4 linked regions of the Elephas maximus indicus genome follow. Each later gene encodes a partner of the first gene's protein in a complex. Links are inferred from orthologs where the notes say so. Each region holds a gene or a part of one and is shown in the gene's direction. Other genes may lie near its edges.

Region 1 (7,134 bases):
GTAAGGCAAGTAATTCAAGAGATCTTCGTAAAGTTCATGTCGTTAGTTGCTGTCGAGCAGACTCATGTAACGAAGGTAGCCAAATGCCTCATCATCTAATTAGTGATGTGCATGAATGGATGAAAGAGATTCCCACTGTCCCTACCTACTATCCAGCAAAACCACAGCCAAGGGAACAGGCTTGGCGGAATCAGCAGGGAAAGAAGATGCTGCTGAGTTTGACCCTAGTCTGGCACCGTGAAGAGACATGGGAGGTATAAAATAAGTGGGGCTTATTATATAATGAGTGGGATATAGCATTCTTCAGTGCCGACTCATGGAAACCCCATGTGTGCAGAGGAGAGTTTTCAAGGCTGTGACCCTTGGGAAACAGAATGCTAGGCCTGTCTTCTAAGGTACCTCAGGGTGGGTTTGAACTGTTTGTGCCACCCAGGAGCTCCTAAAATTAGTGTTAAGCCCCCCAAATGTAGAATGAGGCCTATTCCTGGAAGGTCTTAAATGCTGAGTTGTAAAAAAAGCTGGTCTTTATTTTTTAGCTATGTAAACTGTTTGAGCAGAAAGAGTAATATGCACAGAGATGCACTTTGGGAAAAGGAATCTTGTCGGTGGTATGATTGACAGCTGTACTGTCCGGTACAGTAGCCACTGGCCACATGCAGCTATTTAAATTTAACTTAATTAAGCTAAAATAAAAAATCAGTTCCTTAGTTGCACTAGCCACATTTCAAGGGCTCAACAGCCACATGTGGCCAGTGGCTACCTTACCGAACAGCACAAATGTAAAACATTTCCATCATCATAGAAAGTTCTATTGGACAGTGCTAGCGACAAGAGACTGGTTAGAAACAATCGATATTAGAATAGTCTAGGGCAGAGGTATTTGAATTATAAGCTTTGGTGGCCACAGTGAGGATGGTGAGGAGTGGCAAGTGGAAAGCTATCTTTGATGCTGGCTTTAAAGGACTCATCAAATGGCTGCCTAAAGGAAGGCACATGATTTCCTTATTTATTTGTTTTAGCAGTCTTCTCTGGAATTTTCCAGCTCCATTATTTCCCTCTCGATTTCATAGAACCCCTAATGGCTTGTTTTCATGCTTTAGCAGGACCCTTCCTGACAAGGTGTGTGACGAGAAGCTCCTACTGATAAGTGCCAGATGCACTTTAGTGTGGAAAAGGTGATGAATTTCAGAAAAGATCATCAAAACTACACTGATGGGATGATGACCTTGCAGCTAAGACACAAAAGGGACAGTGTCTGTTTCCAGCTCTTGACAGTGTCAGTCTGATGGGGCTACTGCACTCAGTGTAATCAACACCATGCTAACCTTTACCCATAACCTTGAAGATAAATGTCCACTTTGAAGACAACTCCTTGATGCTTCCTTCCATCAGAGCAAATATTTAAGTTTGGTAGACAATGTGTTTGAACCACGTAAGTTTTCGTTTTCTTACTCTACAAATGTAACATAATTTTGAGTACCTGGATTACTCGATGGCACCGGGTTTGCTTTTTTGGTTTGGATTACTACAAGGGAGACATTAATTTAATCTCTGTACCCCATACCTGATCCCCAGACAAGTAGCATCAGCATTGCCTAGGAACTTATTAGAACTGCAAATTCTCAGGCCCCACCTAAACAACAACAACAAAAAACCAAAACAGTTGCCATTGAGTCGATTCCAACTCATCGCGCCCCTACAGGACAGAGTAGAACTGCCCCACAGGATTTCCAAGGAGCAGCTGGTAGATTCGAACTGCTGACCTTTTGGTTAGCAGCGGTAGCTCTTACACCACCAGGCCCTACCTAGACATACTGAATTAGAAACTCTGGGGGCAGGCCTAACACTCTGCTTTAAGAATCCCTCCAGGTGATTCCGATACACAGTAAAGTATGAGGACCACTGTAAATGTAGCCAACTTCTTTAGTCTTCCAGTGTTAAGTTTGGGGGCATTGTCAAAACACATGCATTTTGACTCAGCTCCTTCACCTTCCATACTTGCCCCATCCATCCATCCATCCATCCATCCATCCATTTATTCATTTACATAATCTATGTTCAGACTATTTAAAAAATTAAGAATAAAAAGTTTAAATACAGTGCGACTTTCTGACCATTGACCCAATAGAATTGAAATCTTGAAACTTAAGTTTAGTTGCCAGAATATCTTTCCCCACTATTGTCATCTTTCATATATTCTCTAAAATTATGTGAAGGCAAAATTCACTTCCAAAATTTCAAAATAAGCATTTGTTAAAACAGCCCTTTGCCAGTTACTACCTAGGTTTTAATGGGAAATGAATTTCAGATATAGAAAAGGCATCTTTTTAGCACTCTTCAATAACTGTCTAGTGACAGAGATATAAAAATGACTTAGACAAAGATGCAGCCCTCAAGGAGCTTAACCATCAGACACTACCTGCAGCTATCTGTACTGCAATGTAGTTAAGGGCAAAACCAGTGGAGTGTGGAGGAGAGACACTTATTATTGGGGTGGGATGTTGTAGAAACGTCACAGGATCCTGGAGGATAAACAGAATTTGACAGGAAGAGAAAGGGACAGGTGAGGGAGGAGGCTCAGGCAGAAGGAACAAAATGAACAAAAGCTGTAAGTTTTGGGCAGTCAAGCCTCAGGAGGAGATGGATGCGGTGGCGGCTGAGACTGGGGCAGTGGGCCACTTCGAGGGTTTCTGATAATCCCGGCAAGCGACTTTGAAAGGAGGCAGCTTGCAAAAATGCACACGCTGTCTGTTGTTATAGCCATTCCACGCGGCCTTTCAAAGCACAGACAAGACCTCTGAGCTCCCAGGGGATCCCCATTCATTCATCCCTCAAATATTGACTGAGCGCCCGCTATGTGCCTAGCCCTGCTGGGGACAGGAGCAGCCCCCTGCCTGCGACTTCGATGTGTAATGAAAGGCCGGTCCCTCGCACCCAGGCTCCCACGCCGGGGACCCGCCGCGGCCTCACCGCTCTCCACCTACAGCCCCTGGCTCCTGGGCGACTCCCGCAGCGGCTCACCTGGTTCCCGGGCGAAGGCGGGAATGACGACGGTGGGGTCGGACGCGGCTCTGGCCCGGCTGGCAGCGCTGGGACGCGAATGCGGGCGCAGACGCCGGCGGTTCCCGAGCCGTTGCGCCCGAGCTTGCGGGCGTTCGGAGCGGGCAGGGGGCATAGGCAGCAGGGGTAGGGGAGCGGGGACCGGGATAGCTGGGCCGCGCGTCCGGAGCCCAAGGGAACTCCTTACCTGTGCCATCCAGGCCCCCACTGGCTTCGAGGTTTTACACTTTTGATTGCAGGCCTACTTGGTGCCAGGGCTCGTGATCTGCACTGCGCATCAATTCACAAGTCTTCCGGTTACCGGTTAGGTCAGAAGAGAGACGTAAGGAAACCTCTCGAAGGGAGATAGCCAAGATTTCCCTAAATCAGAACCGCCTGGCATCTATGCTAAAAATGCAGTGCCCATCTCGGACTTATCTAATTAGACTGCAGCGCGCCCTGGGAAGCTGTGTTTTAAAACAAACTCCCAGGTTGATTCTTCTGTACATAAAAGTTTGAGAATTACTAGGAGAGCTTGGCTGGAAAAAATCTCACTTTAGGGCTAATATTTGCTTTTGTGACAGACTTCGTCAGAATCCCTAAGAAGAAGCCGTATGTCCCTGAGCAGATGGGAAGGCAGCGGCTTTCTGGCTGGAACCTTTTTCTTTTTATATGCAAGTTATTTCTTGGAAATTGAGAATTTCCCTGAGCAGGTGTTTGGCTGCCGGTGCCTATACTGAGTTCAAAGATCTTGGGCCCTTTTCCCGATGCCCCATTTGTCATCGTCGCTTTCTAGCACCAGAGCCAGGCGTTGCCCCAGCCCACCACGGTGGGGCGCACGAGGCATGTGTTGCCCGCTAGTCTCTTCCTTGGCGAGTCTGCCTACGCGCCCTTAAGGACATCAGTCCTTGGAAGTTCCTGCTTCTGGCCTCCAGCTGTTGCTCTCTTGTCGCGAGAACTGCTCCTCCTCCCGTACTCTCACATCACGAAACCCCTCCCGCGAGCAGGTTCCATATTGGGTGACTCTCGGCTCGCGGAGAGTCCCGGGACCTGTTCTCGCGAGAGTACAGAGGGAGGCTCCTGCTCACTGGCTCTGGATCCGCGACCGCTGGAGTCTCCGTGGGCGCTGCAGCTGGAGTCCGGCGACGCAGCCCAGAGACGGCCTGGTCTGGGCGAGTGTGCAGGGGGGTCGCGGCGGGCGCAGCCCCGAGCCGGGTAGCGCGCCCCTGTCCTGAGCCGGGGTCGTCCCCGTCACTAAGGCGCATCTAGGTGCTGCAGCTGACAGGGGCCGCGCGCGCGCGCGGGAGTCCGAGGGGCCGCGGCAGCCGCACCTGCGCCGGCGACCAGCGCAGGGTCCCGGCCCTGCCCGGCAGGGAGCGAGAGTCCGGGAGCGGGTGCAGGCGCAGGCAGGGGCCCCGCAGGGCCACCTCCTCACCCTGCGGCCGCCGCTGGAAGATGTCTCAGGAGAGGCCCACGTTCTACCGGCAGGAGCTGAACAAGACAATCTGGGAGGTGCCTGAGCGCTATCAGAACCTGTCCCCGGTGGGCTCCGGTGCCTATGGCTCGGTATGGTGAGTGTCGCAGGGCCTGAGGCTAAGGTGGACGGGGTGGCCCCTCACGCCCAAGGGCCAGGCCTGCCCCCACGGCTCAGCGATGCGCCAAGTGGCAGGAATTTTTCTCGAGGAACGGCATCGCTGCCCCTTCGAGCTCTGTCTTGCACCCCTGGCACCCCCATCTGCACAGCAACTAGGTGGTCAGCCGTGTGCAGGACGCAGTTCCATGCTGGGCTGGGTGGGGGTGGGGGTGGGGGTGCTGGAATTCGGCCCTGGCTCGCGCCCTGCGCGAGGGACAGGGAAGGCTTCTCAGAAGGCTGCTGCTCCGGGGACAGGGACGAGGGTGCCTTCTGCTTGCGGGGGGAGGGGGTGTCCCTGCTGGCGTCGAACAGAAGGGCCCCCTCCGGGGGTGCGCCCACCCTGGGGCGCTGGAGCTGGCCCTCTGTGCGGACAAGCCCAGGAGCTGCCGGGAGAAGGCAGAGCCCAACTGGGAGACTGTGATCATCTGAACAACGAGGAAGGGCGCTCTCCCCGGGCTTTTTTTGCAAAGCTGCGTTGAAATTCCGTTTTGAGAAGGGTTCCTTTTGAATTAGCAGCGACCTATAGAGCTTAAAATACTGACTTTATCTCGGTGAACACCGTGCCAGTTTGAGTGGTGTGTTTCCGATTCGGTTGAAAGCGTATTTCCTTTTCGCGGGGGGGTGGGGGAGGTGGTGGCGGTGGCGGTGGCGGCGATAGTGCCTGCGAGAACCCTGCTGTTTAAGAAACCGGTCGTCTCACTGATTAGTCACATTCCTCTGCTCATTTAAGTATTGTTTGACAAAACAATTTTCTCATTTGGAGCAAAGGATATTCAGGACCGTTGGACGCTCTCAAGATCAAAAAGTTAACCGTGCTGGGAAGGACTGTAAATAGTTTTAAATTGCGACAGTTCCTACAAATACTGTGTTTTTAAAGCCCCTTATAGAGATTTTGCAGGAAACTTATCTGCATTTGTGACCTGAGGTACACGACAGTTTTCATAGCATGTAGCAAAAGAAGGAAGAGACGCCTTTTTACACCGCAAGTGTTTTAAATTAAACGGGTACAATAAAGTTTCCGGACTTGAAATGTTTCACTAACTTCTCTCTTGTTTCCAAAGTTTTATGTACTGTATTTTAGATGTACTGTAATCTGGGCGCCCCGATCTGAAACTAAATATCAGACTTAATTATTAACTGTTTCTGGGTTTTAGTAATTTCGTGTACATGCATCATTTGAAAAGGGGTCTGTAAAATAAGTTTTTGCTTAGGAATATATTCCAGTTTTTTGAATGTGTTAATCTTTAAGTGTAATTCCTGTGTTCCTTAAAGTCACATCATGAATTTCCTGTTTGGTAGACTTTTCGGGTAATTAAGATTGTGCAATTGTGCCCTGCAACAGATCATATTGCATTTTCTAGTTAAAGCTGCTTGCGTTATGTCGCAGATGGCACCATGCTTGACATCTTTCTCTCATTTTAAAGGAATTTGCAGCTTTTTACATTCACTATATATATTTCTTGATTTACAACTTTTCAAAGATGTATTTGAGTCATTGCAGCTTTTACAGTTCATTAATTTACCTTCATTTTTGAATTGACATATTTATTTTTGCAATATCAGGTTTTTGTTTCCAGTGTTTCCGTTTAAACTTTAATGGAGTGATACAGCAAAATAACTCAGCTACAGGGAATTTAGGTGAACTTGAAAAAATTTGCTCGCAGGGTTTCCCTGTAAGTATGAATAGCTCAGCACTAGACCACACATCAGATTTCTAATAAAGTGTCGCTAAAATGAACTTCATATTTCTTTAGTACTCTTCTGGCTTATAGAAGCCAGCAGTATCTGACATTTGGAAGTAATTTTGTTGAATAGATTTTTAAAAATAGGTAATACATTCATATTTTATAAAATTCAAAATATATAAAAGAGTATTCAGTGAAAAGTCTCCCTCCCTTTCTTTTTTGTTCCCCAGCTGCCCTCTTCCCTTCTGCGGAAACAACCACTGTTAAGTTTCTTGTGTGTCTTTTCAGGAAGGCAGAGGTTTTTTTTCTTTGTCTTTTTTTAAAGTAGCATTTCTAGTAAATATTTCTAGGCGGATTTAAGATACAGATGGAATCCCTCGGTGGTAAAAATGGGTAATGTACTTGGCTGCTAACTGAAAAGCTGGAAGTTCGAGTCTACTCAGAGGTGCGTTGGAAGAAAGGCCGGGTGACCTACGTAGGAGAAAGTCAGCCATTTAAACCCTGTGGAGTACAGTTCTACTCTGACGTGCGTGGGATTGCCGTGTGTCGGAGTCTACTGGAAGGTGTGTGTGTGAGAGAGAGAAGATGCAACCTATAGAGTTTTGGTGGAAGAAAATACAAGTGAAATTGCATAAAAATTGACTATAAAACAAGTATCACTGCTTGTGTAATGAAAATACCAGAACTTAGATTTGCAAATAAGTATCATCTCAGAGTAGCTATTTGAAGTTGTTCTTTCAATTATCAACTTTTCAGGTGTGACCCGAAAAAATAATC
Region 2 (7,180 bases), on another chromosome or scaffold:
TGTTGTGTGGTGCTGAGCTCTGTGTTCTCCCCTTGCTTCCTGGAAAACCAGATCAGAGGGATATTGGAGGCAGGGCCCCCCACACTGCATTGTTTGAGGGAGGGGTTAGGTATGGAAAAAGGGGTGGGTATGGGGCCAGGGGCCACAAGTTAGAGTTGCAGCTCTCCTCTAAATCACTCAGAGACCTTGGGCCTGTCTGTGCCTCAGTTTCCTCATCTACCAAAGTGTCCATGAATGGCTGTGGCTGTCCGACTCTTCAACCAGTTCGATGCCACCAACATTTGCTGAGCAGCTCCTCTGGGCCTGAAGACCAGGGCTGAGTTGCCACAGTTCCAGTCTTCTAAGTCCTGGTCCCTGAAACCATAGTTACGGTTTTAAATAATCAAAGGTGATGGAGAGTGATTCATGGCATAGGGATTTCATCTGATAGGAGTCTTGAAGAGTGAGCAGAGGTTCACCAGGTGGGCAGGTGTGGGAAAGGCATTCTAGGCAGCACAAACGAGATTTACAGAGGCATGGAAGCAGGGAATGATATGGTTGTTTGGGAAACTATAAGTGGTTATGCTGAGGCTGAGCTGTGAAGGGCCTTCTAGGGTCTGCTTACCTCACAGGGTTGCCAGGAAATGCCTTGGAGTTAGAAGACCTGAGTTCAAATCCCAACATCTATTTTTTGGGTGGCTCACTGAACTGGAATTTCCTGCTTTATCAAATAAGCGGGATAATACCTGCCTTACGAGGTTGGAATGAGACATAAATAAGTACATGGTTAAAAACTACCTGGTATACACCAGGTGCTCAATGTGGGTTTATTAAATCTGTAGAAAATGAAATTGTACTTTCACTTAAAGCACAATAAAGTTTTTTTTTTTTTTTAATTAAATTGTAGTCTGAATATAACAAACATTGGTGCCTACCACAGGTCAGGTCTTTCCATGGCATCTCATTTAATCCTCATACTCCCTTTTTACAGAGGGGAATACTGAGGCCCAGGGAGAGGAGGTTGCTTGTTCAAGAGCACTCAGGTGACAGGATATGGAGCAGGGATTAGAATGGAGGGGGTTGAGCTCCAAATCTTTATTTTTTCCAGGCTTTCCTTCAACAGACAAACCACCTGCCCCTTTTCCTCCTCCCTTCTTCATGGCGGATACTGCTCACAGCCTCCTGGTTCCCATTCTCCAATCCTGCTCTGGTAATAGATCCCATTTGTAGCTGGGCACGTTATCGGTCAGTCCAAAGCCTACATTTCCTGGCCTCCCTTGCAGCTAGATATGGCCATGGGGCTAGGTTGTAGCCAACGAGGCATAAGTAGAAGCATCATGGGGAACCTCCAGAAGTCTCCTTAAAAGGAAAGAGACACATCTTGCAAATAAATGTTTAATTTTAAAAAAAGGAAAGGGAGGGAGGTGTCATCTTCCTACCTTCCTCCTACCTGCTAGCTGAATTAAGACAAAATGGCTAGAGCAGCCATCCTGAGTCATGTGGTGCTATGTTGGTAGGACAGCAAAATGATGAGTCACCATCCCAGCCCTGGGCTCGCTCCCACCCCTACCCTCTATCTTCTGAATCAACTCTTCTGTATTAAGCCTTCCCTTCAGCGTTCAAACAGACTCAAGTTTAGGTCCTTCCAAACTAAAAGAAAACCTTCTCTCAATCCCACATCCCCTTCCATGTTCCCTTTTCTGTCTCTTCCTTGTCACAGTTCACCAACTGGGAAGAACCACCTACTCTTAGGTCTCCATGTCTCCATTTTCCAGCCATCTCTCAACTCACTGGATTTAGGCTTCTGTCCTACATCCTGAGGAGCCCTGGTGGTGCAGTGGTTAAGTGCTCAACTACTAATCAAGAGGTGTGCAGTTCAAACCCATCAGCTACTCTGCACAGGAGAAAGATGGGGCAGTCTACTTCTGTAAAGATTTACAGCCTTAGAAACTCTATGGGGCAGTTCTACTCTGTCCTACAGGGTGACTATGAGTTGAAAAAACCTGACAGCAGTGACGGTTTTTTTTTAGGTCCTACATCCTACCTGAACTGCCTGGGCCAAAGGCCTCTGGACCACTAACTCTAATGGGCTTTCTTCTGCTCTCTTCTAACTAGAGCTCTCACAAGCATCTCACGCTGTTGCCCACACCCTCCTTAGACACTCCTCACCATGTCTTTGCCTCTGCTCTGAGCTCCAGTCCCCTCTATCCAACAATTGACTTCTCTACTTACATGTCTCAAAAACACCTCTAACTCAATGAGTTCAAATAGAACTCATTCATGGTCATTCCCTTCTCACTCCCCCAAACCTAGATGCTCTTGCCAGAAATATGGGAGATATCTTTGACACATTTCTTCCCATCACCACCCACAACTACTCCATCATCAAGCCCTGACAATTTCATCTCCTAAATAAAATCCACCCACTGCCATCAGCCATTTCGAACCACTAACATCTCTTGCCTAGAGCTATTACAATATTCCCCTAACTGGCCTTTCTGCCTCCTTCCAATCTCCCTAAAAATATGTCTTGTAGGCAGTAGTCAAGGGGATCTTTCTACCAATAGAATCATGTCACTGGCTTGCTCAGAAGTCAGCAACTACGTCCTGGGGATGAGAAGTCAAACTCCTGCCTGGGGCCTGCATGCCCAGAGGCTGCCCCTTCACCCCCACCACATCACCTCACTCCTCCTCCACCTCTGCTCTAGTCACACCAGCCTTCTGGCAGTTTCTTGGGCCCACGCGCTCTCTCTTTCCTTGGTCTTTGCACTAGCTGTCCCCTCTGTCTGGCCAGCCCTTCCCTGTTAGCAGTTAACACCTGTTCAGATCTCAGCCCAAGCATGGCTTCCACAGACCGGGTCCTTGCCCCACACTCCCACGGCACTATCCATAAACATCTCCTTCCTAGTACTTAACACCATTTGAAGTAACTTATGTATAAAAATGTTGTCCTCTCCAATTAAAATGTTAGCTTTGATGGCCTGTTTTGCTTGCTGTGTTATGCCCTGTGCCCACTATAATGCCAGGCATGATCACTCAAGGAGTATTTGTTGAGTGAATGAATGAACATGTACCCCCTGTTCCAGCTATTGTGTTCAGGTTGTTGTTGTTAGCTGTGGTCGGTCCAGTTGGCCCTGACTCATGGCGATCCCACGTACAATGGAAAAAAAGCCCACGTGGTTGTGCACGATCCCCACGGTCAGTTGTGAATCAGACCATTGTGATCCATAGGGCTTTAATCGGCTGATTTTTGGAAGTAGTTCACCAGGCTTTTCTTCCTAGCCTGTCAGCTCCGCTGAAACCTGTTCAGCATCACAGCAACATGCAAAGCTCCCATGACAGATGGGTGGTGTTTGTGCGTAAAATGCAGATGGGTTCTCCTGCGTGAAAGGCGAGAATTCTACCACTAAACCACCAGTGCCTCAGGAGGAGGCTTATAACAGTTACAAACAAGCATTTTAAAGGAAGATTTAAAAGGTAATGCAATAAGAAGTTACACTATGGAGATCATAAAAGCCAAAGGATGCTTGTGACTTTGGATAAAATTCCCAAAGGCACCAGTTGTTGTTAGTTGCCATCCTGTTGGTTCCCACTCCTGGAGACCCCATGTGTGCGAAGTAGAACTGCTCCATAGGGCTTTCAAGGCTGTGACCTCTCGGAAGCAGATCGCTAGTTGTTTCTTTTGAGGTGCCTCTGAGTGGGTTCGAACCACCAACTTTTTGGCTAGTAGTGTGCGTTTAGCCATTTGCACCACCCAAGGACTCCAAAGGGGGTATACTACATGGATTCACAAAATACGGGGACCCTAATCCAGGGATTTAGAAGTTTCATTTGAAAGGTACCCCTGAGAAAGTGCGCAAATAGAGACGGGTGAGAGGCAATCATATAAGGATGGGAGGGCGGTTTGTAAAATGTAGGGGTACAATAAAGCCTTCTTTTAAATTTCCCCCGGAGGGAAAAAAGTAGGAAAGCAAGTGCGCCTGCGCACACGGTCCGCCACGGCCCTAACTGACAACGGCCGTAGGGTGGCGCTGGGCGCATGCTCCCTGGCAATGCAGTCGTCCTCGCCTCCTTCAGGCCGCTCTAGCCGCTCTTCTCGCCTGCTCTGCCGGGAGGCGGGAGCGCCCGCGGGGGTCCCTCCAAGATGGCGGCGCAGAGGAGGAGTCTGCTGCAGAGTGTGAGGAACCGACCCGGTCTCTGGGCTGGGGGTAGGGGGTCCGGGGACGCCTGTTTGGTCCAGGAGCGACTCCCTCTCCGCTTTTGGACCTCCTTCCTCTCCCGGGCGGGGTGTGGCCGCTTCCCTCCCCTCTCCCGCGGCCGACCCCCTCATTCCCGGGGCAGGGGGCGCGCACTGGAGGTTCGGTCCTGCGCGTCCCGCGCGTGCGTCCTGCCCGGCCGGCGGCTGGGGTCACGGCCTTCCCGGTCAGAGCGCCTGCGGCCCCGGGGCTCCTCACTGCATTGCCGGCGCTCCCGGCCGGGCGTCGACGGTGGGACCGTTCTCGGAGCCGGCGGGGAGTGAGGCGCGCGGCAGCGGAAGGAGCCCGGGTTGTGAGCCCACCCGCCGCTCGGGGTAGTCGTGCAATAGTAGTAATAATCCTGGCAGCATCACTCATATACCGTTCACTACGTCCCAGGCATTGTGCTCATTGCGTTATGTTAGTAAATTTAATTTTCTTAGTACACCGATAAGGTACTATTTTTAGACCTGTTTTACAGTTGAGGAAACTGCGGCACAGAGAGGTGGTCATTTGCCCGAGGCCACACAGCTGGTCAGTGGCAGAGGCAGGAATCGAATCTGCGGTCTGAGTCCAGAAAAAGAAAAACCAAACCCATTGCCGTCGAGTCGAATCTGACCATAGCTACCCTGTAGGACAGAGTAGAACTGCCTCATGGAGTTTCCAAGGAGCACCTGGTGGATTCGAACTGCCGACCTTTGGGAAACCCTCTTAAACTCTAGGCTATAATGAAGGCATGACTGAGATAGTGGCCACCTGAGTTCTGGTCGTGACTCTGACTTACTGTGCCTCCTTCAGCTTCAGTTTCCTTATCTGTAAGCAGAGAGCAGAGCAGACCTGGAGTGGGAGGATTGTCCTGAGATCCCCCCTCTCCTGCAGCCTGGACACTCCTGGGTTTGGTGGTGATGTTGCCCTCCAGCCCCGGGCATCCTCCTGAGATGCATGTTCACAGATGCATATGTGCTCACATTGGCAACACAGGCTTATTCCCACCTGCCAGGACTGGGAAGCATCCTCTGGGTCCTGTCCAGTGTCCTAGGGTAAAATCACCACAAAGTTATAGTAGAGCAAGGAGAAAGACTTTATTTGGCATATGTTCCAAGAGGCAAAAGTAGGAAACGGACAAGCACGCTGCCAGAACCACGTCTGCCCGAGTCCAAGGAATGTTACAGAATCATCAGTATATATTAACATTAACATTACAGTGGGTAAAATCATTAAAAGTTTCACATTTTCACACATTGACTAAAAACTGCTAAATCACCATGATTCTGCATTTTGAATTGACTTTCTTAATAGCTACTGGTACAAATTTCGGTAATGACAGGAGGGTCTTCACTGGTCCAACAAATGTTACTGTTTGTTAAATGCTAATAGAAAAAGTAAGAGTGGAAAATGGGTGGGTCTTTTGTGCTCCGAATATGTAAAAGAGTCACTAAAAGATGTTTTTCAAGGTTGTTCTAGCTATTTTTTTTGTACCTCAAGGCCCAGTTGATGTGTCCTTCTGAGTCCAATTCATCTGGGCCACATTCTTTGTACTCAAGGACAGGGAATAATGGCTCCAATTTTAACTCCTAAGTTACGGGTCATGGATTGTTAGCTGTTGTTGGGTTAGCCCTCTACTCATGGCAGCCCCTGCACAGTGGTTTCGCTGCCCAGTCCTGCACCATCCTGTGATCGGTTGTTGATCGGACTGTTGTGATCCATAGGATTTTTATTGGCAGATTTTCAGAAGTAGATCACCAGGCCCTTTTCCTTAGTCTGTTTTAGTCTGGAAGCTCCACTGAAACCCGTTCGGCATCCTAACAACACGTAAGCCTTTTTCGACAGATGAGTGATAGTTGCACACGGGGTGCATTGGGTGGGAATCGAACCAGGTCCCCGGCGTGGAAGGCAGGATTCTACCACTGAACCACCACTTTCCCCATTGCCCTAGTTATGGCATTCTCGTAGTTGCCTGTGGACCTCTCTGGGTCCCATACTGGAAAGTGAACTCCTTGAAGATGGGGACTTGGGACCCCTTGCTTACTTTTGTTACAGCATCTACACTATTGTGTGCCGGGTACTCAATAAAAATTGGTGAAAAAATGAGTAAAGCATTTGTAGCCTGGCCCATTGCTTAGCCTTGGCCTTACGGATATGCAGCAGACATTGGCCCTCCTGCCATTGAGGGTCTTGAAGCATGGGGATTTGGGTGTGAGGGTGACCTTCACTGTTGCATGTTAATGGCAGGCTTTGTGTAGATTCTCTGGAAGCAGAGCCTTGTTCCAGATTGCTCCCTGGTGGGGACAGCTCTCTTCCCCTCCACACCAGAGGGCACTGGCTGCCCCTTTATTTTACTAAGGAGCCCTGGTGGTACAGTGGTTAAGCATTCAGCTGGTATCTGAAAGGTTGGCGGTTTCAACCCACTAGCGACTCTGCAGTGAGAAAGAGATAGCAGTCTCTTCTGTAAAGATTACAGCTTTGGAAACCCCATGGGGCAGTTCTGCTCTGTCCTATAGGGTTCTATGACTTAGAAACAACTTGATGGCAATGGGTTTTATTTTACTGCTGCTCAAGTCTGGCTTGTTGAGAAGTTGGTTGGGTATGGCTGGTACCCTCTGCTTTGTGAGCTCCTGGAGGGCAGTCCCCATTGTAGTAAGCATTCCGGAAACGCTTACTACCTGGATTATGATGTTGAGAGAGTGGCTGTGGAAGTGATAAGTGCTACAGGTAGACTTGTCTTGTTGAAGAGAGAGCGGCTGCCTGGGTTGTGCAGAGGGTGGGTGGCTCCCTTCTAGGCGTGATGGAGCCCAAGGAACTTGGGTTAGATAAAAGGTGAGCTTCACTAGCTCTCGTATGTGTTCTTGAGGGTAGTTGTGGAATCTTTCCTTGTACTTTTTAAAGATTGGATAAAGTTAGCTTTAAATACATATGTATTTAAAGACAGAGGCCATACAAGGCCCCTTCCTGCGACTTTCTCTAGT
Region 3 (7,601 bases), on another chromosome or scaffold:
AATTAATTTCACCTGTCTCCTCTTACTTTTTAAATGTGGCTACTAGAAAATTTTAAATTATGTGGCTCACATCATATTTCTATTGGACAGCGTTGGGCTTGACATTGAGAGAAGAAGGTTCCCTTTGCTACCCAAGAAGTGAAAACTTAATCTACACTGTGAAACTTTCCGCTTGTAGTCAGGATTCTCTCAGAGACTCCCTCGTACCTTGCCTCTAGGCCCCACTCTCTTGCCTCACTTCAGTGCCCCCTAAGCACATGGTAGGAGTCCCTGGGTGGTACAAACAGTTAAGTAATTGGCTACTAACTGAAAGGTTGGTGGTTTGAATCTACACAGAGGTACCTTGGAAGAAAGGCCTGGTGATCTGATTTTGAAAGTTCACAGTCCTTGAAAACCTCATGGAGTACAATTCTACTCCGAAACACATGGAGTCGCCATGAGTTGACATTGACTCCACAGCAAACTACAGCAACAGGTTTGGTTTTGGTGAAGCATACGGTGAGAGTGTGATCTTCGTAAGATGAAAATCTGTTCTCATTGTTGTCCCATTGCTTAAAACCTTTTGAGGGCTCCCCCTGGCCTCTCAGAATAAAGGCTGTACTACTCAGCAGGGCAGTATGCTATGCCCTTCATGACCTGGTAGCTGCTACCCTCCCCCAGTGTTACCTCCTACCCCTTCCCCTCTCCAATTTCTTCTGCTGAGTTTCTGATACCTCCATGTCTTTAAATTTGCTCTTCCTGTTTCTGGGAATGTGCTACTTGTGCAAACACTCCCAAGTCCCCTCTACTATCCCACTCTCCTTTACTTGGTTTAATGTGATTGTCTGCTAAGACTCAGCTTAGCTGTTACATCCTCCAGGATGCCTTCCCTGACCTTTTACCTTCTTTCTAGGCAAAAGTGCTCCTCCTCTATGCTCCCAGCACTCTGTGCTTGCGTCTTTAAGAGCATTAACACATTTGATTTCTTGCTGGTTTACTTGTCTATTTCCCTCACTTGACTGTGAGCTCATTGAGGGCAGAACCTTGTTCTTCATCTTCAACCCCGGGACCAAGCCTCACGCCTGGCACACAGTACACTTTCAAGGGCTATTTGCTGAATGACTTGAGAAGCAGGTAAGGGAATTAACCAGGGATCATCAGCTCATGGATGGCATATTAATTAGGGCTCTTGTGGATGTAAGTGACTGTAACATCTACTCTGCCTGGTTTTATTGCCTTACATAGTTGAAAAGTCTATGTATTGTTTTATCTTTAGGTATGGCTAGATTTAGCAGTTCAACCATTGTCACCAAGATGTTTTTTTTTTTCATCTCTCTCACCTTCCCACTGTGATGGCTCCATTCCCAGAGAGGTTATTTCCTCAAAATGACAAGCTGGCTGACAAGCATATCCTCCCAGGTTCCACTGAAGAAGACAAAGTCTGCTACCTTAATAGTTTAAACAGAGAATACAATTTATTCCTATTGCTCCTGATTGGCCTGTTTGGGGTCACGTGCCCACCTCTGAAGTAGAAGTGGCCTACAGGTAGAATGCTCTGATGTACTCCGATCTGATCACGTGCTAAGGCCATGGAATTGGGGCTGTAGTGAAGTTTGCCTAATACCAAGCAGGGGCTGAAGGTAAAAGTTCCCACAAAGCAACATCAGGGTACTAGTTCTACCACAAAAGCAATAAAATGTTGTTTGTTCTCAGTGCCTTTTCTTTCATAAAAGTGGACATGTTATAAAACATGGGTCCAAAGAAAATGCATGTTCTCATAACTGTTGTTTTTTTTTTTTTTGTACACTGGCATTTTTAGGTACTCTGTAAAATGGGGTGTAACCCTGTTACATTTTTAAGTATTATAAACCAGGCAGATCAATTAGATATAAGTCAACTAGAGAGACAGTTCAGAGACAAAAAATCTTGCCATGCTTCTTAGGCCCTGGTATCTTTCCTGGCTTATAAGCTTACTCATGGAAAGTGGTAGAATTGTTTACTCATGGAAAATGATAAATCTGAAATCTTTCTGGTGAAATGGAGCTGTTTAGAGATCCTTGGTGCAACTTGGAAGAACAAATCTTTAGTGTCAGGAACATTCAGTTTGAGGACACCTCACAGTAGCTCTTTCTGTACTAATTCATTCATGCAAAACTTTCATTGAGTTCCTACTGCTGTAGGTACGAGAGAGAGAGAACCAAAAAAAAAAAAAAACCCATTGCCGTCAAGTTGATTCCGACTCATAGCGACCCTATAGAGAGAGAGGATAAAAAACAGACTTTAGGGAGCTTACGTTATACTTACATTATAGTGGAGCCCAGGCCAGCAAATAAACACACAAGATAAATAAGATACTTTCATATTGGGATAAATGCTATGAAAAAATTGGGCAAAATAAAGAGAGGAATTAGGTATGAATGGGCTACTTTTTTTTCTTCTTTTTATTGTGATGAAAATATACGTAGCCAAATATATACCAATGTAACAATTTCTACAAGTATAATTCGGTGACATTGATTACATTCCTCAAGTTGTATAACCAATCTCACTACCCTTTTCCAAATTATTTTACCACCATTAATGAAAACTTACTGCCTCCCAAGCAAAAATTCCCTCTTGCCCCCTCCCTCCCATCCCTGGGAACCACTAATAGTTTTTGGTTTCTATATATGCTTCCATGAGAGAAAGATGTAGCAGTCTGCTTCTGTAAAGATTTATAGCTTTGGAAACCCTATGTAGCAGTTCTACCCTGTCCTTTAGGGACACTGTGAATTGGAATTCCATGGCAACTTTTTTTTTGGTTATTTAATATAAGTGAGATTATACAGTATTTGTCCTTTTGTGACTGACTTATTTTGCTCAGCATAATGTTTTCCAGGGTTACCCATACTGTGGCATGTATCTGAACTTCATTGAGTGGGTTCTTTTTTACAGGGTGGTCAAGGAAGGTTTCTCTGAGGAAGACCTTTAAGCTGAGGCCTGAATGATGAGAAAGTTCCAGTCATGCAAATAACTATTCAGACTTCCCGCCAAAAGACAGAGAGCTCAGTGGTCTGGGGAATTTAGAGTAGACTCTTGCTTCTCAAAGTGAGGTCGCATACCAGCAACATCAGTACCCCTGTGAGCTTGTTAGAAAAGCAGAATCCCAGAGCCCACCTCAGACCTACGGAGTCAGAATTCACATTTACCAAAATCTCCCAGGTGTTCCATAGGCATAGTAAACTTTGAAAAGTGTCGGCCTCTCAACCCTTTCTGTAGCCCACTGGAAAGGTGTAAATCCTGCTGGGGTGGGGTAAGGAAACAGGGAATGGTGTCAGCAGTCACAAGAAAGACGACATGGTAACCATCTGCTGCTGCCACCTCCGAATCAGACCAGCCAGGCTCTAAGAGAAGGCTTTGAGATTATTAAAAGTTAGGGTCCAAGTGATTTTCTAGGATAGCCCCTTACTTTTTAGGAGACTAGGACACTGGGGATGTTTGGCCTTGTTTTTACCACTATGTGATCGTGAACCAAGAAAATATATTGACTGGAAGGAAATGGTTTGGTTTTGGGCCACTTGACCAAGAAACGTATGCTGCTGAATTAATTCCGACTCACAGCGACCCTATATGACGGAGTAGAATTGCCCCATAGGGTTTCCTAGGCTGTAATCTTTATAGGAGCAAATCGCCAGGTCTTTTTTTCCCCAAGAACGGAGCCGCTGCAGGGTTCAAACCGCCAACCTTTTGGCTAGCAGCCGTGCCCTTAACGATTGCACCACTAGGGCTCCTACCTAAGAAATAATAACAGTGAAATAATGGTTCGACGTGCTCGGCATATCCCCCCGCCCCCCAAAGCACATCAAAATAAACACATACCTATCAAAATAAAGAAGTTTCTTCGCGTACCAACTTATTGTCTCCTAGACTACCACTGGTACACCGATTGTAGCTTTTCAAAAGCACCAGATGATTTCTGCGGTCCTTTCAAACTTGAAGACTGTATGAATTTGTGGGATGGAGTTGCCAAAAGTTCACTGTCACAGTTGTGACACCATCACACCGCCGTCCGTCCCTCCGTCCGTCCATCCATCCATCCATCCAGACAAGCCTGGCTGCACACCTAGCCATGACTCTCCTGAGCGCTGGACACAGAAGACTAAACCGCACTTCCTGATTTCAAGGGCGGGGGGAGGTTGAAGGGTAAATCATTTCGGTTTGTGTGCTAAGCGCTACAGCTCAGGTAAGCATCGGGCGCACAGAGGAAGGGCGGTTTCCGGAGACAGGGCGGGGAGCTTTTTCAGAGATGTGGTGCGTGGGCATTTCCCAGGCAGCCTCTGCCAGCCTCACTACTTTGATGACTTTGCCGCCGCGGCTCAGCAGCGGCAGTCAACCTCAGCTTGCCTTAGCAACCTGAGCGCACCGCCCAGGCGCCTTCCTATTGGTCGCACGGACTATGATGGGCACCTCTGCCGTGTAATCCCAGTTGAGGCCTTCGGTTCCGCGCTCCCCGGCGGCCCAGGAGGGCTTGTAGGCGGTGCCGTCCTCCCCAGGTCTCCGCCCATTCCGGGCGGCTTGTAGCGCATGCGCCGGCGGTCAGGGGCTGTGTGCGGGGCCAGCTCAGAGCCGGAGGAGCCGCGGTGAAGCGTCTGGGCGCCGCCGGGACCGCCGTGCTCGTTTCTCGCCTCGGCTGCCGCCGCCTCAGCCGCCGCCGCCGCCGGGGGAGCAGCCACCTATTGTCTTTCTCCGCGGCGAAGGTGCGGAGCTGCTCCGGCTCGGCCCTCGGGGGAGCCCCGGGCGCCGCACGGTGAGAGCGCAACTGAGTTGGCCGAGTTGAGGGAACTTTCGTGATTTGAGGAGTGGTCCCGGCGAGGAGCGAGGGCCCCTCCCCTGCGGCTTGGCTCGGGGCGGGGGCCGGGAGGGGGGCGGGGGCCGGGGGCGGAGGGCTGGGCCGGCTGGAGGGATGAATGGGCGGTGCGGGCAGCGGCCCGGCCCCGCCGACCCCTCCTCCCTGCGCAGCCCCTCTCCTCCCGCATTGTCTGCTCCCGGGCCGAGGCGCGCCTCCTCACCCCGCGGCCCCGCTTTGGGGCCCAGTACGGTCGCCGATGCCTCTCGGGCGCCCCTGGGCCCCGCCGCGAGGCCTGAGCCTCGAGCCCCCGGGCGTTCCGGGCCGGCGCCGCCGGGGCAGGGAGCGCGAGGAGCCCCGGCACCCATGCGGTCGCTCGGTGGATCGCGCCGGTCCGACGGAGGCCGGGCTACCCCGGGGTCGCCAGCGACGCCGCGAACAAGTGCTCCCGGCGGGAGGGGAGCGGCTCCCCGGGGCGCACGGAGAGTAAACACGTCGGGCCGCGCTCGCGCCCTGCGCTGCGCCCGCCTGGGGGTGTGGGGGGGCCCTCGGGGCGCTCGGCCCGACCCGCGCGCGTCGGTGACGGCAGCGGCCGGGGAGCGTGCGACGGGCTCGCCTTTCCTCCAGGCTAGAGCACAGCCCTACTTTGAGCCCGAAGAAAACATTTTTATTATGTAAATATGGCTCGCTGACACTTTTTGTTTTGCAAAGCCTTCCAGTTGGTGAGGAGTTGAAAAATACTAAGAAAACAGTTTTTTTATTAAATAAAAAAATAGTTTTTTTTCTTTTAATTATTTAAACAGATCAGTTCCACTGCATTTAAGTTTCTAGACCTTACTGTGAACTCAGGAATTCACCATGAAAGTTAGATTGAGTAATATTTTGGTGTTCATTTTTAGCTTTTATACTCCTTACTGTGCGAGTTTATTGCCTTAGGCATTTATAACTAAAGTTAAAAGCTGTATGCTTCCCCCTCCTCCCTTATTTTTAGAAGCAGCAGCTTATTCAGTTTTTCTAAACTGTTGGATTGCCCAGATCAGAACAAATGCTGCAGTTCTTGAAAGGTCATTTTTTGCAAGTTTGTAAAGGCGTAATGATCGGCTGAGATAAATCACTGTTCTTGCACTCCGTGGTCTCTTGGGGATTTGCAGATCGCATTAAGTACAAGCCTTGATGTCTAGTTTTGGGTACATGGACTCCACCGAATTTTTCTCATTTGGCTTATACAAATAATTATGTTTTAATGCCCTAGATGGAATTAGCTTAAATGCCTGTGAAATTCGCAGTGGAAGTGTCTCAATTTCAGTTGTTGTATCGTCTCTTGAGCATCTGATAAGTTAAAAAGACAATTTGAGAAATACCGTGTATGTTAGTTTGCCTTGATTTCTCATGATAAGTGGGCAGTGTGGAGAAGTGTTCTTGGATTTTTCAGGTTTGCTTGGCCTCATTTTGCTTTGAGAAACCAATCTTCTTCATCTGATGAAGCTAAAGAAAAATTATCTTATGGCATTAATACTTTTAAACTACAGCAAAGTCACATTTAGGAGCGACAATTCCTACTCTACGATTGTGTGAGTGTTCGTGTGTGGGGGCGTGGGATCCTGGATTGACAGGTTGGAAGGGGTTGTCAAGGAGGGACTTAATGTAAACAAACACTCCTTCCAGCATAAGATGACAAGTAGGCTGGTTGCTTCCCTCCTCTGGGCTCTGATAGCATGTTATACATACTTTTGCTTTGGGATTTCTCACACTTCGTTTGTTTGACTAAGTGGTAACTGTACATGTAAGTGTAAATGGGCTCCTTGGCTAGTCTGTTAACTCCATAAGGGCTGTGATGGGCCTTATTTAAAAAGCTTTGTATCCTCTTTGCCAGGAGTCCGACAGTACTAGTGTTGAGTATGCCTGTGAACTGGGTGAGGTGCTTTTTTACGAGCTGGCGGTGGTGTGCAGTGTGCTGGAAGTGCACACAGGAGAGAGCCACTAACCCCCGGGGACTTGTCCAAAGTGGTAGTTCACTTGTGATGAAGTTTAGTTTACATTAAAAGGACTTCTAAACTTTTTTTTTTTTATCTGCTGATTGTCTCTTGGCAAGAAGTGGGGTTTAAATAATGCACTGTGGATTTCAAAAGGTGATCCCGATTTAGAATTTTTTTCCCTCTTCTTGGTGAAATTATTAAGACCACTGAACACATCCGTTCACATCACTGCCCAATTCTCCAATGCGAAATTGGAGGTAGAACAATTTATAAGAAAGCACATTCTTTGGAGCTAGGTAGATTTGAATTCAAATCCCCACACTTCCATTGACTCGTTGAGTGTCACCTTGAGTATGTCACTTCTCAGAGCTTCAGTTTCCTGCTCTGTAAGGATAGTAACATACTTTGCAGTGTTCTTAGGAATAAGTGAAACTATGTGAGGTACTTAGTACAGTATCCAGCATTTAGTAGGTGCCGAGACCTTGGGTGGAGCAAACTGCTTGGCTGCTAGCCAGAAGGCACCTTGGGAGAAAGGCCTGGTGATCTGATTCCGAAAGATCACAGCCATAAAAACCCTGTGCAGCACAGCTCTGTAACACATGGTGTTGCCCTGAGTTGGAATTCACTCCATGGCAATAAGTGTGTATGTATTACTTGGATAGGGTCATTATGAGTTGGAAACAACTTGATGGCGGTGGGTTTTTGGTTTGGTAGTTGTAATAATTTTGATACATTTTTACATGACTTAAAAGCATTCTTGAAGGTCTGATACTGCTACATATAGTGGTTTAGCTGTTTGTTTCATGTCTTCATGAGAATTG
Region 4 (7,758 bases), on another chromosome or scaffold:
AAAGATATGAATAGACACTTCACTAAAGAAGACATTCAGGAACTAACAGATACGTGAGAAAATGCTCATGATCATTAGCCATTAAAGAAATGCAGATCAAAACTACAATGAGATTCCATCTCACTCCAACAAGGCTGGCATTAATCCAAAGAACACAAAATAAGAAATGTTGGAGAGATCGTAGAGAGACTGGAACACTCATACACTGCTGGTGGGAATGTAAAATGGTACAAGCACTTTGGAAATTGATTTGGCGTTTCCTTAAAAAGCTAGAAATGGAACTACCAGATATCCCACTCCTTGGAATACATCCTAGAGTGATGTATTCTTACATCCTTACAGTGATGAATCTGTGAAACATTTCATAACATGGAGGAATCTGGAAGGCATTATGCTAAGTGAAATTAGTCAGTTGCAAAAGGACAAATATTGTGTAAGACCACTATTATAAGAACTCGAGAAATAGTTTAAAGAGAGAAGAAAATATTCTTTGATGGTTACGAGAGGGGGAAGGGAGGGAGGGAAAAAGAGGGGTATTTACTAATTAGATCATGGATAAGAACTATTTTAGGTGAAGGAAAAGACAACACACAATACGGGAGAGGTCAGAACAACTGGACTAAACCAAAGCAAAGACGTTTCCTGAATAAACTGAATGCTTCAAAGGCCAGCACAGCAGGGGTAGGAGTTCGGGAGCCATGGTTTCAAGGGACATCTTAGTCAATTGGCATAATAAAATCTATTAAGAAAACGTTCTGCATCCCACTTTGGAGAGTGGGTTCTGGGGTCTTAAACATTAGCAAGTTGTCATCTAAGATGCATCAACTAGTCTCAACCCACCTGGACCAAAAGAGAATGAAGAACACGAAGGACACAAGGTAATTATGAGCCCAAGAGGCAGAAAGGACCACATAAACCAGAGACTATATCAGCATGAGACCAGAAGAACTAGGTGGTGCCTGGCCATAACCAATGACTGCCTTGACAGGGGACACAACAGAGAACCCCTGAGGGAGCAGGAGAGCAGTGGGATGCAGACCTCAAATTCTTGTAAAAAGATCAGACTTAATGGTCAGACTGAGACTAGAAGGGCCCAGGAGGTTATGGTCCCCAGACCTTTTGTTAGCCCAAGGCAGGAACCATTCCCAAAGCCAACTCTTCAGACAGGGATTGGACTGGACAATGGGATAGAAAAAGATGCTAGTGAAGAATAAGCTTCTTTGATCAAGTAGACACTTGAGACTATGTTGGCATCTCCTATCTGGAGGAGATATGAGAGGGCAGAGGCGGTCAGAAGCTGGTGGAATGGACATGAAAATAGAGAGTGGAGGGAAGGAGCAGGCTGTCTCATTAGGGGGAGAGCAATTAGGAGTATATAGCAAGGCGTATATAAATTTTTGTATGAGAGACTGACTTGATTTGTAAAGTTTCACTTAAAAAAAAAAAAAGCACAACAAAAATTTAAAACCAAAAGCAGTTACAACAGTACGTCAGAAAAGGATGTGGAATGAGGGATATCATTGCTTATGTCACATGGATCTTGACTGAAAGCAGAGAATATCAGAAAGATGCTTACCTTTGTTTTATTGACTATGCAAAGGCATTCAACTGTATGGATCATAACAAAGTATGGATAACATTGCCAAGAGTGGGAATTCCCGAACACTTAATTGTACTCATGAGGAACCTGCACTTAGACCAAGAGGCAGTTGTTTGAATAGAACAAGGGGTTAGTGCATGGTTTAAAGTTAAGAAAGGTGTGCATAAGGGTTATATCCTTTCACCATACTTATTGAATCTGTATGCTGAGCAAAGAATCCGAGAAGCTGGACTATATGAAGAGGAACACAGCATCAGGACTGGAGGATGACTCATAACCTGTGATATACAGATGACATAACCTTGCTTGCTAAAAGTCAGGAGGGCTTGAAGCACTTACTGATGAAGATCAAAGACTACAGCCTTCAGTATGGACTACACCTCAACATAAAGAAAACAAAAATCCTCACAACTGAACCAAGAAGCAACATCATGATAAATAGAGAAAAGACTGAAATCAAGGATTTCATTTTATTTGGATCCACAATCAACGCCCACAGAAGCAGCAGTCAAGAAATCAAATGACGCATCACATTGGGCAAGATTGTTATAAAAGACCTCTTTAAAGTGTTAAAAAGCAAAAATGTCACCTTGAGGCCTATGGTGTACCTGGCCCAAGCCAGGATATTTTCAATCACCTTATATGCATGCAAAAGCTGGACAATGAACGAGGAAGACTGAAGAAGAATTGATGCCTTTGAATTATGGTGCTGGCGAAGAATATTGAACATACCATGGACTGCCAGAAGAAAGAACAAACCTGTCTTGGAAGAAGTACAGCCAGAATGCTCCTTAGAAATAAGCATGGTGAGACTTTGTCTCACATACTTTGGACATGTTATTAGGAGGGGTCAGTCCCTGGTGAAGGACATCATGCTTGGTAGAGGGTCAGAGAAAAAGGGGAAAGTCTCAACAAGATGGACTGACACAGTGGCTGGAACAATGGGCTCAAACATAGCGACGATTGTTAGGATGGCGCGGGACCAGGCAGTGTTTTGTTTAGTGTTTGTACACAGGTTTGCTGTAAGTTGGAACTGATTCGATGGCACCTAACAACAACAATTGGTTAGAATTAACCAAAATGATTTCAAAAAGATTGGATAGTTTGAAAGAATAGAGTCAGTCACAGGAAAAGGCATTGGACAATACGTTTAGGGGCCAAAGAAATCTGCATAGTCATATGGAAGCAAGTAGCTTAATGAAAGAAAATTAGACTTGTGGCAATTAGTTCATCACACAATTTTTATGTATTTATTTCAGCTATGGACAGATATAATAGAAGATAAGAATAGCCTCAAGGAATTTGCAGTCTAATTACGAAGACCCGAGAATGCCTACCAGATTATTGTTAAAGCATGTTTGTGAGACTACTCTACAGTGTTTATTGTTCTTGCTGGCTATTCTCTTAGCCTAATAATGTGGGGAAAATAGAATAAAGGAGAAGTAGATGGGAAGGAAGGGGAATGTGGCTAAGAAACATTAAGACTCTTATGGCATGCAGGCCAAACTTAAAGCAATACATCCATGGTTTTAAAGCTGGAAACTGCAAGTCTCTTATTTTGCAGACAAGGAAACTGGGGCCTGTCTAGCAAAACTTCCCAGCTGTTCAGTGGCTGGACTCAGGACCTTCCTTGACCTGCAGCCTAGTGTCCTTTCTGTCACAATAAAGTGTCCTTGAAGGTGAAATAAAATGATTGAAGTCTCCTTATACCTGGGTCTAAAGAGCTTTAGTTTTCCCTTTGATGGTTGGATGGTTTTTAAGAATTACTTGATTACCTAAATCAGGAATTCTTTTTTTGTATAACAGTTTTCATGAATCCTCATACCTTGGTTATGAAAACAGAAAACTATTAATGCTAAAATTCCCAGTCCTTATCAAAGAGAAAATTCAATAATTAATGTGAGTAACAGACTAGAAATTTTTTAACATATATTCACCAATCCCTCCACTTTCATGTCTTGAACCTATACGATGATTTGCAAATTTTATATTTCCCACCTGTCCTCTTTTATGAATTTCAGTTTCATGTTTCAGCCACCACATCTTTACCTGTTTTCCTCCCATGACCTAGAACTCAACATGAAGCCAGCCAGCTTCCCCTCCACACATCACTATTTCTGTCAATGACACTATCATTCTTCCAGTCATGCAATTTTGATCTTGGCATCATCTCTGGCTCTTCTTGTCTTCCACATCTATTGGGTCACTAATTTCAGTGGCCTCTTGCTGAAAAATCTCTCTCAACTCCATTTCCTCTTTTCTAATCCCATTTGGTACACTCTAACCTAGGCTCTCATAATCCTGTAACTGCTTCCCAGTTTTGCACTAGCAACCCACCCTGCAACCGTTGTAGGAAGAACGTACCCGTTGCCGTGGAATCAGCACCGACTCACAGCAACCCTACAGGACAGAATAGAACCATCCCATAGGGTTTCCAAGGAGGGGCTGGTGGATTTGAAATGCCAACCTGTTGGTTATCAGCTGAGTTCTGAACCACTGTGCCACCAGGGCTTCTCTAAAACATCATCAGAACAAAAACTTTATTCTCTTGTTTCTGACTTTCCACAGTTTCCCTGTAACCAGGGAGTGTAAAATTCAAATTCAAAACCCAGAATACGTGACCTATACCTTTGCAACCTCAGCTCACACTTTCCTCCACAGAACCATCCTCCCCCAATCAACAGTCATTTTTCTTCCCAATACCCATTCCCACTTTTTGCCCACATCCGAAATGGATTCTAGTTCCCTCATCTGATTTCTGCTCTGTTAAAACCACCAACCAGAGCAGTAGACCATGACCCTTCCTCGAAATTCGAGAAGGTACCTACTGTTGGTTCTACCGAAGCAGCCTTCATCCCTATCTCCTCAGGAATATCTTTGTATGTCTACTCCCTTCCCAATTTAACTTCTGTAGGACAGTAAGTAGTCTCCTATCTCTTTGTATCCTACTGCCTATCGCCACAGTAAATGTTGATGAGAACTGCCTTGATGGAATTGGTAGTGTTACTACCAACAAGATGGTAAGGTACAAAGGGGCGAAGAAGTCACTCCGCCCCCTTCCCCCCCCTCCGCCGTTCTCCCAACTACAGGGCAGGTGCACTTTGAGGACAGGGAAGTCCCCTAACAGCCCCCCGGGGGGCGCGCAGACGTCCTCGGTGGGTTCCTGGGCGGATCGCAGGCCTCGGTGATGAAGGCCCCGGAGGCCAGAGTTCGTTCCCCACGCCCGGCTTGCTGGCGTGTGTGAGCGGCTGCCGGGTAGGCGGGCGTGCCAGGCGAGGGCAGGGGGATTCCGCGGTTTCGCGGTTCCGCGGTCGGAGGTAGGTGGTGCTGTTGCTGTGACTGTCTTCCTCATTGGCGCCGGGCGGAGAGGCGGAATGTTCAACTCCTGACTCGGCGGAAGCGTGGAAGCTGCGCGGGCCGCCGTCCTCCCGGCCCTCTGCCGCCGTCCTCGCTGCGCGCGGGGCCTCCGCGCCCAGCTGCTGCTCGCGCCCGGTCGGGGAGCCAGGTAAGGGCCAGGCTGGAGGCCGCGGAGGCCAGGGAGGGAGGGAGGCAGGCCCGCCGCGCTCGCGAGTTGCCCCATCGTCTCGGGGCCGAGGCCCAGTTGGAGGCCGGAGTCCAGCGGGCCTAGGGGCGCCCCACAGGGCACCCCTTCCCGGGCCGGGCTCCGCCCAGGCGGTAGCGGCGGGAGTGAGCGTTCCCGGCTTTCGCGGAGCTCAGTGCTGGACCTCCGCAGCTCCGCGACCAAGTGCAGCTCGGGGAAGTTCGGGCCCGACAGACGGAGAAGTTGGCGCCGGAAGAGCGGGACGCAGTCCCGAGCGTCTCAGGCTTTCTCGGCCCTGGGCATGCAGCGCGGTCGTGGGACGCCTCGTCGCTCGCGGCGCTCCTCCTCCCGGGCCTCGCTTCCCATCGCAGAACACGGGGCCCGGCCGGCCGAGCCCTGGACCCCGGGGCGGGTAGCGCCGGACAGCCGGTTTGCAGGGGCGAAACGCGGACCTCCCAAATCAGGGCAGGATGCAGACCATTTCCCATCAGAGGTCTGTGCGTGCGAGCAGAGACGCCTAACTTCTGCTTTCTAGGGCACTCGGCCCAGAGTGGTATTTCCCACCGACAGTGACGGCTCCCTGCCCTTCCTGAGGCGTCCTTGAGCAACCTGGAGCTCGCAATCGCCCGCACACTCGAACTTCCCCACTTTACTTCCACGAGAGCAGAGGGGATCCCCTTGACTGACCCCTTGGAGGCCCCGGTTTCGTGCACGCTGAGACCTGCCGCAGGCCCAGAGACGAACGCTGAGGCTGCCTCCACGCCTGCTCGCTCGTGACAGCTATCCTAAAAACTTTAAAGCTCGTTAGATGACATTGAATTTCTTGAAAAATGGGGTGCTATTATTAGATTTTTCGACTCGTTTGTTTGTTTGTTTTGGTATTATTAGATTGCCGAAAATGTATGTTCCTGATGCGCTAGATACCTGGCATAAGCACTGTTATGGGGGACTTAATTACTATTTGTGTTAGTTTCTTCAATAATGAAATCAACACAGTTTAGTGGCCTATTCCAGTGTTATTAACAGTAAGCAGCTTGCAATACTGGTGTGTTAGAATCGTATTACAGAATTAATTTGAGGATATCTGAGTTAATATTGTTAAAGTAGACTTCTGTATTCACCCTAGAGCTGTTGTAGGAGAGCCTTCTGGCTTTCCTGACATTAACTAAAGTGAACAGCCAGGATTCAGTGGATCTAGACCTGCAACATATTTTAAGACAGGATTAGACAAGTGAGTCAAGGCCAGTTAATGACGTCTTTGTAATGGGACCATCTCTACAATGAAATTTCTTGCTGTTTTTTCATTTTAAAAAACGTATGTGATAGTGGCATTTAAATTATGGTTTTAGTCATTTGTAGAGCTTTTGTTTGCATTCCTGCTACAGTAGTGAGAGACTTGGGAGATTGCAAATGAATGTGAATTTAGTTTGTTTGGAAAGAGAATTCAGATAAAGAAAAATGGTCTTTTGGAGCTGTGTGTACTGCTAATTTTAATCTTTAACACTCTGATTCCTACTATAACTTTTTGGGGTTATTTTGGGAGTTTTTTGTTTTTTTATATATAAGCTGGAAAATATTGTTTAAATCCAAAGTTTTAGCAGTTATATTTCCAGGTAAGTGACCATAATGCAATGGCCAGGACATTTTTTTTCCTTGTCCAGGAAAGCAAATAGATGGTTGATCTCTTTTTCTAATTCTTTTAGGGAACACTTAGGTCACATTAAAGAGAGAGAGAGAGTAATATCCAAATATTAAGAATTTGGATCTAAAAATGGATGGTCAAAGATCTTGGGAACTAAGGGACCTTCTTGCCAAAAACAGAAACTTGGCAAGTTGCACTGTATATTTTAAGTCAGTACAAGAGTAAGTGTTATTGGCAATACATTGGCTGAGTGCTTATCTGGAATGAGTAGTGAAACTGACTTTGATAGGGCTACAAAACTGTGAACTGAAGTCATGAGGGGCATGGAGTGAATAATCCATTCATCAGAGAAGACACTTGAGAAATTACAATGACGTTTCTTGAAGAGTTCAGACATAAAGTGAAGCTATTAGTGTGGAGTTGAAAGAGCAAATGGATAGTTGATTCTGGAAATTGATAGATTCAGAGATGAGAAGGAGAGAATCTTTTTTTTTTTTTTCAAACAAGAAAAAAGTGTGCACGGTGATACAGTGTTGCTTGGAATAAGATTTTTAATATCTGTATCCTGAGGTGTAGGAAATAAAAATCAACCTGGATCATTTGTTTTCCATTTTATTCCACCCAGGAAAGATTGACAGGGAGGGTACCTTGTGTATCTAAATGTAATAGGAAGAGCTAAGGCACCTTTTGTTCTTACTACAGGGAAGATGAGGCTAATTGTCTTGTGTCTATTAGCCCTGCCCCACTGCACACAAATAAGCAGAGTTCCAGCTGTGGCCAGAAAACTGTACCTGTTAAGGGAAGAGAGCTATAATGCTAGCGCTTAGGTTGGTTTGATTGATACATGGGTGCTTTTGTGTGAAACACTGCTATGGACAGCAGAAGCATCGATTATGCCCCAAAAGTGGTTAAATAGTCCCTACACAGTAGAAGAGTCTGTGGGAGCAAAGCAGCCGCACATTTCACACCCTAACC

The links.
Region 2: the proteins of MAPK14 (region 1) and TAB1 are in contact, whole or in part, in a crystal structure (PDB 4LOP), measured with the Mus musculus proteins. The link is inferred for Elephas maximus indicus from reciprocal best matches to the Homo sapiens genes MAPK14 and TAB1. Residues at the interface, in NP_036081.1 of Mus musculus: Gly110, Ala111, Asn115, Ile116, Cys119, Gln120, Lys121, Leu122, Thr123, Asp124, Asp125, His126, Phe129, Val158, Asn159, Glu160, Asp161, Cys162, Leu217, Thr218, Gly219, Arg220, Thr221, Leu222, Asn272, Val273, Phe274, Ile275, Gly276, Ala277; in NP_079885.2 of Mus musculus: Val385, Tyr386, Pro387, Val388, Ser389, Val390, Pro391, Tyr392, Leu405, Ser406, Leu407, Val408, Met409, Pro410.
Region 3: MAPK14 (region 1) and AKAP13 share a complex: the UniProt entries of both Homo sapiens proteins name them as parts of the signaling complex. The link is inferred for Elephas maximus indicus from reciprocal best matches to the Homo sapiens genes MAPK14 and AKAP13.
Region 4: MAPK14 (region 1) and MAP3K20 share a complex: the UniProt entries of both Homo sapiens proteins name them as parts of the signaling complex. The link is inferred for Elephas maximus indicus from reciprocal best matches to the Homo sapiens genes MAPK14 and MAP3K20.

What each region holds. Positions count from the first base shown.
Region 1 is NC_064819.1:99,704,747-99,711,880, forward strand, and holds the start of MAPK14 (mitogen-activated protein kinase 14), read left to right. Parts: upstream 1-4,075; 5' UTR 4,076-4,494; coding exon 4,495-4,610; intron 4,611-7,134. Other genes in the region: SLC26A8 (testis anion transporter 1), read right to left, coding at 3,022-3,256. UniProt on the Homo sapiens protein: Serine/threonine kinase which acts as an essential component of the MAP kinase signal transduction pathway.
Region 2 is NC_064822.1:183,334,197-183,341,376, forward strand, and holds the start of TAB1 (TGF-beta-activated kinase 1 and MAP3K7-binding protein 1), read left to right. Parts: upstream 1-4,100; 5' UTR 4,101-4,123; coding exon 4,124-4,156; intron 4,157-7,180. UniProt on the Homo sapiens protein: Key adapter protein that plays an essential role in JNK and NF-kappa-B activation and proinflammatory cytokines production in response to stimulation with TLRs and cytokines.
Region 3 is NC_064831.1:80,886,770-80,894,370, reverse strand, and holds the start of AKAP13 (A-kinase anchor protein 13), read left to right. Parts: upstream 1-4,530; 5' UTR 4,531-4,765; intron 4,766-7,601. UniProt on the Homo sapiens protein: Scaffold protein that plays an important role in assembling signaling complexes downstream of several types of G protein-coupled receptors.
Region 4 is NC_064824.1:71,226,878-71,234,635, forward strand, and holds the start of MAP3K20 (mitogen-activated protein kinase kinase kinase 20), read left to right. Parts: upstream 1-4,735; 5' UTR 4,736-5,105; intron 5,106-7,758. UniProt on the Homo sapiens protein: Stress-activated component of a protein kinase signal transduction cascade that promotes programmed cell death in response to various stress, such as ribosomal stress, osmotic shock and ionizing radiation.